Linked DNA regions of Saccharomyces cerevisiae S288C. Changing the gene in region 3 together with the main gene of any one other region gives a genetic interaction. Each region holds a gene or a part of one and is shown on either strand. Other genes may lie near its edges.

What was found.
Region 1: mutations in WSC3 (region 3) and SMM1 together harm fitness more than expected from each alone (negative genetic interaction), as found in Saccharomyces cerevisiae (one large-scale study listed by BioGRID).
Region 2: mutations in WSC3 (region 3) and SPO74 together harm fitness more than expected from each alone (negative genetic interaction), as found in Saccharomyces cerevisiae (one large-scale study listed by BioGRID).

The regions. Positions count from the first base shown.
Region 1 is NC_001146.8:651,795-655,198, reverse strand, and holds SMM1 (tRNA-dihydrouridine(20) synthase (NAD(+))), read right to left. Parts: upstream 1,813-3,404; coding exon 658-1,812; downstream 1-657. Other genes in the region: acetyl-CoA carboxylase ACC1, read left to right, coding at 1-526; YNR014W (uncharacterized protein), read right to left, coding at 2,096-2,734. UniProt on the Saccharomyces cerevisiae protein: Catalyzes the NADPH-dependent synthesis of dihydrouridine, a modified base found in the D-loop of most tRNAs. Specifically modifies U20 in cytoplasmic tRNAs. Also able to mediate dihydrouridylation of some mRNAs, thereby affecting their translation.
Region 2 is NC_001139.9:183,620-187,200, reverse strand, and holds SPO74 (Spo74p), read left to right. Parts: upstream 1-1,806; coding exon 1,807-3,048; downstream 3,049-3,581. Other genes in the region: SUA5 (threonylcarbamoyladenylate synthase), read right to left, coding at 1-1,142; RNA-dependent ATPase ROK1, read right to left, coding at 3,117-3,581. UniProt on the Saccharomyces cerevisiae protein: Involved in the pathway that organizes the shaping and sizing of the prospore membrane (PSM) during sporulation. Probable component of a core structural unit of the scaffold that initiates synthesis of the prospore membrane.
Region 3 is NC_001147.6:113,481-117,691, reverse strand, and holds WSC3 (Wsc3p), read left to right. Parts: upstream 1-1,883; coding exon 1,884-3,554; downstream 3,555-4,211. Other genes in the region: NDJ1 (Ndj1p), read left to right, coding at 238-1,296.

The DNA.
Region 1 (3,404 bases), on a different chromosome or scaffold from region 3:
CAACAAGAGTTTGGCTCCAGAAGTACATCAGCAAATATCCAAGCAATTAGCTGATCGTGAGAGAGAACTATTGCCAATTTACGGACAAATCAGTCTTCAATTTGCTGATTTGCACGATAGGTCTTCACGTATGGTGGCCAAGGGTGTTATTTCTAAGGAACTGGAATGGACCGAGGCACGTCGTTTCTTCTTCTGGAGATTGAGAAGAAGATTGAACGAAGAATATTTGATTAAAAGGTTGAGCCATCAGGTAGGCGAAGCATCAAGATTAGAAAAGATCGCAAGAATTAGATCGTGGTACCCTGCTTCAGTGGACCATGAAGATGATAGGCAAGTCGCAACATGGATTGAAGAAAACTACAAAACTTTGGACGATAAACTAAAGGGTTTGAAATTAGAGTCATTCGCTCAAGACTTAGCTAAAAAGATCAGAAGCGACCATGACAATGCTATTGATGGATTATCTGAAGTTATCAAGATGTTATCTACCGATGATAAAGAAAAATTGTTGAAGACTTTGAAATAAACCTTGTAAAGTAAAAAAAAAAAATAGTATTGATGTAATTTAATTTAGTTGCTAATATAAATTAGAAAATACATACATATATATATTATGCGCGTTTTCTTTCATAATCCGTTCTTTTTACTTAGAATATATTATATATCTGTGGGAAGGGGTACAACCTTTTGCTTTTTAGTGTCACTGCCTATGTGATCGGTCTGTTTCCTCTTTTGCTTGGCGATGGCGTTGGCGTTTTTCAAAGCTTTTTCTTGAGCTCTGCAGTTTTCCAAGTACTCTGAAGGATCTGTTTGAGCGCTTCCATCATCGTTCAATTGCTTTAGTACGAAACTAACTTCTTCCGGGCTCTTGCAACGGGCAAAGTACTGAAAAAAGACTGATTTTCCGGGGACAATTCTGCTTAACATGTATTTTGTATTGCCGATGTGGTTGTCAAACTTCGTTGCCCACTGAATAAACTCGCGACAAGCAACGACCCAAGATGGACCGTCTTCTGAAGGCTTAGAAGTGTGATCAAAAACTGTAGGGTCCCGTTCAGCACACTCTGCAATCATACCACCAATGTTAGTGTTTTTCCAATGATTCGCTTGTAAATCATGAAAATGAGAGCGGTCGCGGATAGCGCCGTTCACAATCAACGACACGTTATTTGCCTGGCATATCTCGTAGATCTCCGCAATGTAATCTGTGATGGGCTGCTCTCTGTTTCTCATTTCAGTCTTCCTGCAGTGAACTGTAAGATTTGTGATGCCCGTGGCACACAGACGTTTGACGAGCTGTAGAGTGTCTTGCTTGGTGTCCAAGAGTCTTATTTTCACACTGATGGGTTTGCTGTGAGGGTTACCCACGTTCTTAACCAGTTCTTTCAAGATGAGACACAGTGTGTCTGGGGTGCGCAAGAGGGCAGAGCCCATGCCGGAGTGTATAGAGAAGTGTTTGGGGCAGCCTGCATTGATATCTATCCCGCTGACGTCGTTGATCACTTTCAAAGCAGCCTGGGTGGCCAGAGCCGGGGATGCAGACCCGATCTGGAAAATCAATTTAGAGGATTCTAGTTTTGGATATGTTCTGAAAACGAGCGTCTCCGGCCTCGTTTGAACCTTGGACGGCACGACGTAGTCGACAGTTTGGAGTGCAGTGTTTTCCTTCCTGACGCACTGAATTAGCTTTTTGTCGATGATTTCTGGGGACCAGACGAGATCTGCACCGTGGGCCAGCGCCATCAGTCTCGTGGGCAGTTCGCCGGCTCTTACCATTGGAGCTAGAACCAGTTTTCCAGCATATGTAACCATGATCTCTGTGTGACTGCGCTATTTGGTGTGGCTTGGATGGATGAAATAGCAAAAGTTTTTCAAGACGGTTTTCATTTTTTCTTCGAGCGAAGTGATGAGCAAAGTAGAGGAAATGGAAAGCGGCAAAAAATGCATTGTCGATTTTAGTAATGAATATATAAAACGACGGAAATATATATATACATGGCTGCGTAGACCACGCAGAACTGTATATGTATGTATGTATAGAGGAGGGATGGGAAATGCTGTGTGACGATAGACAGATGGATGGACGAATGGATAACTACGTCTCTAGTCTCTCATACAATGGTTTGTCAAACTTGACGGCGACCGAGTTTCTTCTGTGGTGATGTCTGTTGCAAGGACAAGACGGGTCTGAGTGGTCGTTAGGAGACGCGGATGTTTGCGGCTCCTGTTGGTCACTGATGGGGAACATCATGCTATGCTGGGCGTACGAGACGGACCTTTTCATCTCGGACGACGAGCGATTATCGAAGGAGGGCAGTTGTGGCTCACTGGCCCTTCTTTGAAAGTTTTTGTGATGCGCGCATTGGTGGAAGTCGCTTGCCGGCAATACAGAGTTGCGCCTAGAAGAGGGCAGTAGTGACGGCGAGGTTGGGTCAGAAGTCAAGCACGAGGCTGCGGTGTAGTTACTCTTGAACAATGAGGGCCGCGTAGGGTCTGCTACAACGGGAGCGGAAACATTAAGTACAGTCTCGACGATTTCATTGTCAGTTGATAAAGCAGGCGGTAAGCCGACGGAGCTGCCTCTGGGGGAGCAGGCTTTAGATGTAGCAGAGGAGCAGGAGCTGCTGCTGCTGCTCCTGCTGCTGCTTCTGTCCGCGATCGACTTGTAGTGGAAGGTGATGTGAGCGGAAACAGGGATGTTCACGGCACAAGGCTTGATATCCGTGGACGACATGGAACGTTTATTAGTTATATTTTTCGAGAAAAAATCTGAAACTTGCAGATCATTAGTTTACGCTTCGGATGTACACACACATACCTATATACATATATACATACACATATATATACATTTGTGTGCTCGTATGCGTACTGTTTTGCACTGGGCTGATTCGAGAAAGTCAAAAAGCTTAACTGGCCAGAAAAAGAAATTAAAACGGCACCGAGGGGTCGAAACCTTCCGTTTCTGCGAAGGCCCTTTGTTCTTTTGCTTTTGATCCGAAATGAGGGGCGGCGAGAGGTAAGGGGTAGAGGGGCTGGAACTCTCGCTGATGTTCTGAGCGAGGTGTTCAGGTGGGCCTATCCGCCTTAATCACTCCGGCGTGGGGAAAGAAAGCAGAGAGCGAGCAGAGAGCGAGCAGAGAGTGGGTGATGTCAGAGAACGATAATCCTGATGGGGGGTGGAACTTTATTACCCTACTTGAATTTTTTTATTTTGGTAGGGTAACTTTTATTCCCTTGAAAAAAATACTTCTGGTTACCCGGATCCGTTTTTTTTCGGGGATCCACGTGATGGCTTTTTGATCAGGACTAATTTTAAAACTGAAAAAAAAAAAAAAAAATTGAGTATGTCTTGCATGTATGAAAATTGATAAGTAACTAGGAAAAATGCCGCTCAAAATCTT
Region 2 (3,581 bases), on a different chromosome or scaffold from region 3:
AAGTTAGTCTGTATTTCTTCACCAGATTGGCCAAGTCTTTCGATGATGAAAGTTTTCGAAGAAAAATCGGGTTCATTAAAGATCTTAGATTGTAAGTCGGAATCACGTAATTTTAGGGAAGTTAAAATCGCAATTTTTTTTATATTACTGTTGGCTTTTAATTCCGTTTCGATTAACCTCTTTAATCTTTCCATCCTATCAACGCCCTTAAGAATGCCATCGCCTTCGCAATGAGGAACTAGTAAAACAACTTTAGCTGAAGGGGAATAGTGTCTATACTTCATACCAGGCGTTCTTACCTTTTCGCCCTTTTCAACTGTTTTCTTATTCTCAACTTTACAAAGAGACCAAGCTTCACCACCCAATTTAACAATTTCTTCATATGTAAAACCGCCAGGTCGCAGTAGCGTAGGAGGATTACATAACCCATCAACAACAGTACTTTCTACACCAACCTTGCACGCTCCGCCATCAAGAATTATGGGAATTTTATCCTTTAGATCATGATAAACATGAGACGCTAAAGTAGGAGATGGCCTAGTAGACGCATTCGCTGAAGGAGCAGCTATTGGTGTATCGCTCAGGGCAATCAGTGCTCTAGCCACTGGATTAGCGGGTATGCGTACCGCAAACGTAGGCTGATCTGCGGTCGTTAACTTTGATAATGCACTATGCTCTGAAGATGGAACTGGCAAAAGAATTGTTAATGGGCCAGGCCAAAGGCTTGAAATTAATGGGCGATAGATTGAGGGTATGTTATCAAACAAGGATGTACCTGATAGATGCGGTTGATTAAAGACCTTTCTGTTAAGTTGATCAATGGATGAAACATGTGTAATCAAAGGATTGTCACTAGGCCTATTTTTGGCCCTGTATATACTAAGCACTGAATTATCATTTAAAGCAGAACCTCCAAGACCATAAACAGTTTCGGTTGGAAAAGCCACAGTCTCATCTGTATCTCTTATTATCCTCGCCGCTTCAACTAGCGCTGCTTCCGTTTCAGGATCTGTTATCGTTGGTAAGGAACCATCTATATGCGCATCAGGGGAGAAAATGATTGATAGCGGGTTAACTTTTAAGATCTTGGTATCAAACAGTGCTTTCGATGTCATTGCCAAAAAATGTCGTCCAAGGTACATACAATTCTAAAAATGGAATAATAAACAGGACTACCATTAAAAATGGAAACAGGTTTAGTGGTAAGTTAACAGCGCAGAAGAAAAAAAAAATTTGAGGAGAAGAATAAAGCTCTCGCTTCAAATATTATCAGCTTCAATAGGTATGTGCGATGAGGTTACTATCTTCTGGGTGAAAAAATAGTAAGGCTAGCGTAGATAATGATTTGAAATTTCTCAAAAAAATATTTTTGATACATATAATAATTTTGAAGCCTGAATTTTTCAACGAAATAGCCTTGTTGGCGCAATCGGTAGCGCGTATGACTCTTAATCATAAGGTTAGGGGTTCGAGCCCCCTACAGGGCTATCTTTTTTAGGCTCAAATCAAAAAAATGTCTAATATATTAAATTCTACTTCCTTTTTATATCTCAAAGAAGAAGGCATTTAACCCCATTCATATGGTTTACACTTGTGTTGAGATTTGTTGCTTGCGCTTCTTTTATCCTTTTAAACCGCTTATTTATCCTTTCCAACGATAAGGCTCAAATGACATCAATGTTCTCTTTTGTGTCACAAGAAATATAAATAACAACAATAAAACATTAGGTATTTAGTTGGAAGTCAAACTTGAAACTCTTCCCGGTTATGTTGTATTGGCAAGGAAAGAGCTGAATTGGTTGAGTGATGGGAGCTGGCACTCTTTTAAATGGATTAGAAAAGGAAAACTTTCCAAATAACATCCATTCAGATTTGCCTGCGTATCCTAACATGGATTCTCAAGAAGATGGCAATACTAGTAAGGAAAGTAAAAGAAATAGTCCAGTAAAACAGAAGTCCCAAAAAGATGAAGAAAAGTCATCTAAAATGGGGACTGCAAGCAACATATTCCATGAAAATAAAGATATACACGAAAGATCTGAACACACGGACGATTTTAATGATGGCTTAAAACTGGCTCCGGACTCTAGTCCAAGCTTGAAAGAGTGTCAATTTAAAAATTGGGAAAGTTTTTGGTGTAATACAGAAGGTTACAAAACTAAACACATGCAGCCCTTTCATTTTACAAGCGGATTAGAAGAAATAAAGGAACCGGTCATGGAATTGAATATTTCCACTTCACCATACAAGGGACAGAGGCCAAATTCAGCTCCAACCGAGTATTCAGCTGCCACAACAGCGTTTACCAAAACACAATTAGAGGTGAGTTTTCTAAAAACCAACTTGCTTACATACATTAAAAAAGAGATTGACATTTGCTTGTCAAGTGTTCCATTTTTTGACGACGCAGTTCAAATGCAAAAGAAATTCTTGGAATACAGAGATATTGACTTGGATGAAGAATATGAGCTCAAAATTTTGGGGGAACTTTTGAATGATTTAAACTTCTTTCATATGCAAGAAAACTCTTTGCTAAATAGAGAGCTAGCAGTTCGTAGATTCTCCAATCAACCTGAAAGTCAAAATTTACCTTCCATTAGGGATTTTAGAAATCCACTTTTGCCAATAGATAACCGCCCTTCTCCCCCATTAGGATTGAAAAGAAACGGAAAGTCTTTCGAGGAAACCTATGATTTCACGTCCAATACATCAAATTTTTGGGGAGAAAAAGCAGAACTACAAAACTCCATAACTGGTGGAACACCCTATTTTTTCCACCCTAACAATATACATCAAACAAAACCTTTTATGTCATTTGAAAATCAAAATGAACTTCTATTCCAGAGAAAAAATTCAGATTACAAGCAGCATTTTAACTCTGGAAGAAATATACATAATGGAGTGGAATCGAAATCTTACAGAGGTGTGGGGTTAAACGATAGTTATCAAAAGGGTTATGCAGCAATGACAAAGTCGTTTGGAAATATCGATTTAAATAGAATGCCCAGAAGAAGTAATGAAGAAATGTATAGCTGGTCACGTAATTGATCAATGAAAGTAAATAAAAAAAACTACTAATCATATATACATGTCTTGCATACGCACGTTTGTTTATATTATTTCGAGAAATGTTTTTTTGAAAGTTCTTCATTTTTTCTTCTTTTGGATGCTGCAATCATTTCTTGTTGACGTCTTCTTTTGGCCTTATCCATCTTAGGCACAGTAGTAATCTGCTTTCTTTCTTTATGCGCTTTACCGTTTTTTATACTTTCTTTCTCCTTTCTGGTCATTTTAGCCATTTTATCCATCCACTCAGATACTTCACAACCACTTTGTTTCATGACATTTATTATTGGTTTAATAGCTACTGAGTCTTGTTTAGTATAGAATGTGATAGCTTTACCTGACCGCCCACCTCTACCTGTTCTACCAATTCTGTGAACATAAGCCTGAGACGATCCTGGAACGTCATAATTGATGACCAGATTGACACCTTTGAAGTCAATACCACGAGCTAAAACGTCGGTACAGATCAAACACCATAATTCACCAGTTTTAAATCGTTCAATAATCCTGTCTCT
Region 3 (4,211 bases):
TGGAAAAGTATGCGAATTAAAGTAATCCATGTGGTAAATAAAATCACTAAGACTAGCAACCACGTTTTGTTTTGTAGTTGAGAGTAATAGTTACAAATGGAAGATATATATCCGTTTCGTACTCAGTGACGTACCGGGCGTAGAAGTTGGGCGGCTATTTTGACAGATATATCAAAAATATTGTCATGAACTATACCATATACAACTTAGGATAAAAATACAGGTAGAAAAACTATAATGAGTAAGGATAATAGGTTAGCAAGTATTTTGCTGCAGCCTGTAGCATCATCCTCTGGAAATTGTACTGAATTCCATGACTCAAAGTTGCATACTCTGCAAGAGGAACTTAATTTCTTGCCACTAGAAGGAGTTGCGTCGAATGTTTGCCCGCCGATGTTTAGAGGTCATAAGAACTACGTGTTTGTGTTATATTGTTTGAATCAAGTCGATCTCGTTACGAATTTGCAGGATTCTACAAAACGTTACTACCCACTGCAAATATTTAAAGATTGTCAATTGAGTTCTTTGGTTCAGAAGGATTTTTCACACTATTTCCAACTCAGCAGGCAAAAGGAAGGGGAAGATCGGAACGATAGTGATACCACCTTGGTTAATGTCGTCAATTCTGGAGTATCCCGCCATAGAAGTCAATTACTAAAGATGTGTATTATACCTAGAATTTGTTCCTTTGACAAATCCAACTCCAAAACCTACAAGCTAATTCAGGAATATGTTAATCGCTTTGAAACCGTTTTAACAAAATTTGGCCCAGAAAAAGATTTCACCAAAGTTTACGCTAACTGGTCAAAACTCATTGAGTCGTTTAATGAGCTTATTTTACATGACCTGTTGGTGAAATGGCAACAATGGTCTGAATTAACTCAGCCAAATGCCACGGTCCATCAGAACATTCCGAATGTTCTCAGGGAACTCGTAATAAAATTAACACAAAGGTACTTTACATTCCAACCTTCATACAGTTGTTCGATTGATGAATTCACAACAATTTTACTTAATAAAAATGCTTTGAGTCTCTTGGACGTTTTCAGAAAACCCAGAAAATATAAACTGAATTTTGGTTTATGGCTAGATTGTCAAAACGGTATTTTAATTTTTACAAATGGTATTGTGCAGATGGCAGATGAAATTACAAGTGAGAGGGTGAAATCCTTTGTCAGGCCAGCACATCTCTTGGTATTGGAAGACCATTCAAATGATGAAGCAGTCAAGAAACTAATGTTTTTCACTTTTTCAGCGATATTACAATGCTTTACAGATGAGATTCTGAATTGTTAAAACGGGCTATCCATATTACATCTGAACCAAAAAAAACTTTTCTTTGCTGTTTACTTTAAATCTTGCTTAATGTGAAGATTTTTTTCTGTTTGCCCTTTCACTAGGAGATTTTTAACCTAATTTTACCAGCCGATTCGTTAGTAGGAATGCATTTTTCCAAAATCAGGAATTTTTACGTCATCCCGCTCTCCTTTGAGATCCGGGCAAACTTCTTATTTTAGCCACTCGAGAATTTTTTTCTTTATTATAAAAAAAGTAATTATGCCTCCGCACTAATCTTAAAAAGCTTTTTAACGTAAGTGGTATACTGCAGACCAGGACCATTGTTTTACTTCATTGCCTGAAATAGTATCTAGGTTAGATATTGATTTTTCTTACACTTCAATAAAACAATTGCATTCGTTATACATTTTTTTCTTTCCAAACATTTGCTATAAAAAATTTTTTGATCCCTCGCCATACTAATTTTCTATTGTTCCTCGAAATTAGTGATAATCCTCGAGAAATATTTGGTGAGCTATTTTCTTTGTGCATTATATGAAATTCATGTCCGTATAGTTTGTTTTTTTAGCAGAAGACAATATAAAATGGAAAGAGTATGGTTTGCAAAATTAACAAATAAAGGAACTATTAAAATCGGGTATATCTCATTTATACTTCTAAGTTTGCTATGTCAATCTCTGATTGGGCTGGTTAATGCTGATTTTAATTATGAAGGCTGTTACAGTGCCGCGGATATCCAGTCTGCTGGACTGTCTCTGAAAAACTCATACATATATCAATCAGTGTCATACTGTCAAAACCAGTGCCCTGAGTCAGCAGTAGTAGCATTATTTAACGGGTCAGATTGTTACTGCGGTAATTCGGTAAGTTTTCTGACTTCTTTGACGAAATCAACAGATTCAAACTGTGGAACTAAATGCTCTGGCTGGCCTTACCAAATGTGTGGAGGGTCATCGTACATGAACGTGTATGTAAATGCTGAAACTTTTGTTTCATCGGTTGAATCTTCCTCTTCCAAAGAAGGGTCTAGCACTTCCTATATGCCCTCAACAACTTCTTCATTGTCCTCCGCCCAAATTTCTTCAACTACTAGGAGAACGTCAACAGATATGAAAAGTTCTGAAATGATAGCCACGACAGTTTCTACCACTTCAACAACCTCTTCCTCGACTTCCTCTACTACCTCTTCTACCACCTCTTCTACCACCTCTTCTACCACCTCTTCTACTACCTCTTCCTCGACTTCCTCTACTACCTCTTCTACCACCTCTTCTACCACCTCTTCTACCACCTCTTCTACCACCTCTTCTACTACCTCTTCTACTACCTCCTCTACTACCTCCTCTACTACCTCTATCTTTTCTGTTACGTCTAGCTCCTCATCCATTACATTGTCCTCATCTGAGCATACCACAGTCGATAGCCGTACTTCTTCACCCTCTTCCACCTTGGTGCCAGTGTCCTCGAGTAGCAGCACACTATCAACTCCAAAAGTGACCTCAATGACCCCTAGTACGTCATCAACGATACCAATAGTTACCTCAGTGGAACTAGTGACTAGTGTGGTTACAAAAGCGATCGTGAGTACTTCTGATCAACATCAGGAAACAATATTTGTTACGAGGACATCCGTGGTTGAACGATCTTCTGAGGTAGCTACTGCTACTGCTGCCGCCTCAAATAATAGATCTAATTCGACTTCGAAGCAGCGTCTGAGTGGTGGAGCCATTGCCGGTATTGTTATTGGTGTTGTGTTTGGCGTAATTTTTATTATTTTGATTCTATTGTTCCTGATATGGAGGAGACGGAAATCGCACGACCAATTAGACTTGGAGGAAACGAAACATTATCAGCCCTATTCGTTCGGTGATGAGGATGCAAATCCAATAGGACCGCCTCCCTCCTCTGGTACGACAAATTGGATGAGACATTCAAGGGGTAATACAGCGGGTTCTATCGGTACAAGTAATATGTATGGTTTTTCTATGAGTAATGGTGCAAATTATAGTAGTCCTAGTTCAAACACCAGTGGAAGCATCATAAACAACTTGGCTGGCTTACAAGATGCTACGGTTCAGAAACAGAACCTTCCATCGACAGTTTTTGAAGAGGCAAATACTTTGAATAGTGCAAATGAAAGGTTCAGTGCCAATTCTTTACCCGACATGATGATGAGCGGACCATTGCAAGTGGTAAACCCTGATAATCCTGATAATCCTGAATTATCTAGTACCGTATCTCATAATCGAGCCTGAAAAACTCGCATAAACTCTCAACATTAATGGTAATCAACTGGTTCTGCTGGACGGAGCCATTCTAAATCATTAACTTTATAATATCATGTTTTATACCCTAATATTTAAACAATTTACTGCTTTTGGCACTTCAACTGTTAGAAAAAGAACAATAATATTTAGTATTTAGTTTCATTTTTAAATTTTCTGATTCACTTCATTTGCAGCTTCTAATGATGTTTGTGGTACAAAAATATAAACAATTTTAAAATATTAAAAAAAAATGCTTCCAATCGGATTTGAACCGATGATCTCCACATTACTAGTGTGGCGCCTTACCAACTTGGCCATAGAAGCTAAATCTCTGAAAGCTGCGCTCTTCAAAGGCGAACCAAGCAAGATAAATTAATATTATTATGTAAAACTATCGTTTTCCTTTTGTTGATTCCTATATCCCGGAGAAGAACTACTAATTATCAAATTATTCACCAAATGATCAAATTTAGCAGCGTAGTGAGTGCCACTATGTAGATGTTGGAATAAAAACCAACTATCGTCTATCAACTAGTAGTCATACTATCAATATATTATCATATACGGTGTTAGATAGTGACATAAGTTATTATAGAAGCTGTCACCGAAGTTAGAGGAAGCTGAAATGCAAGGATCGATAATGTA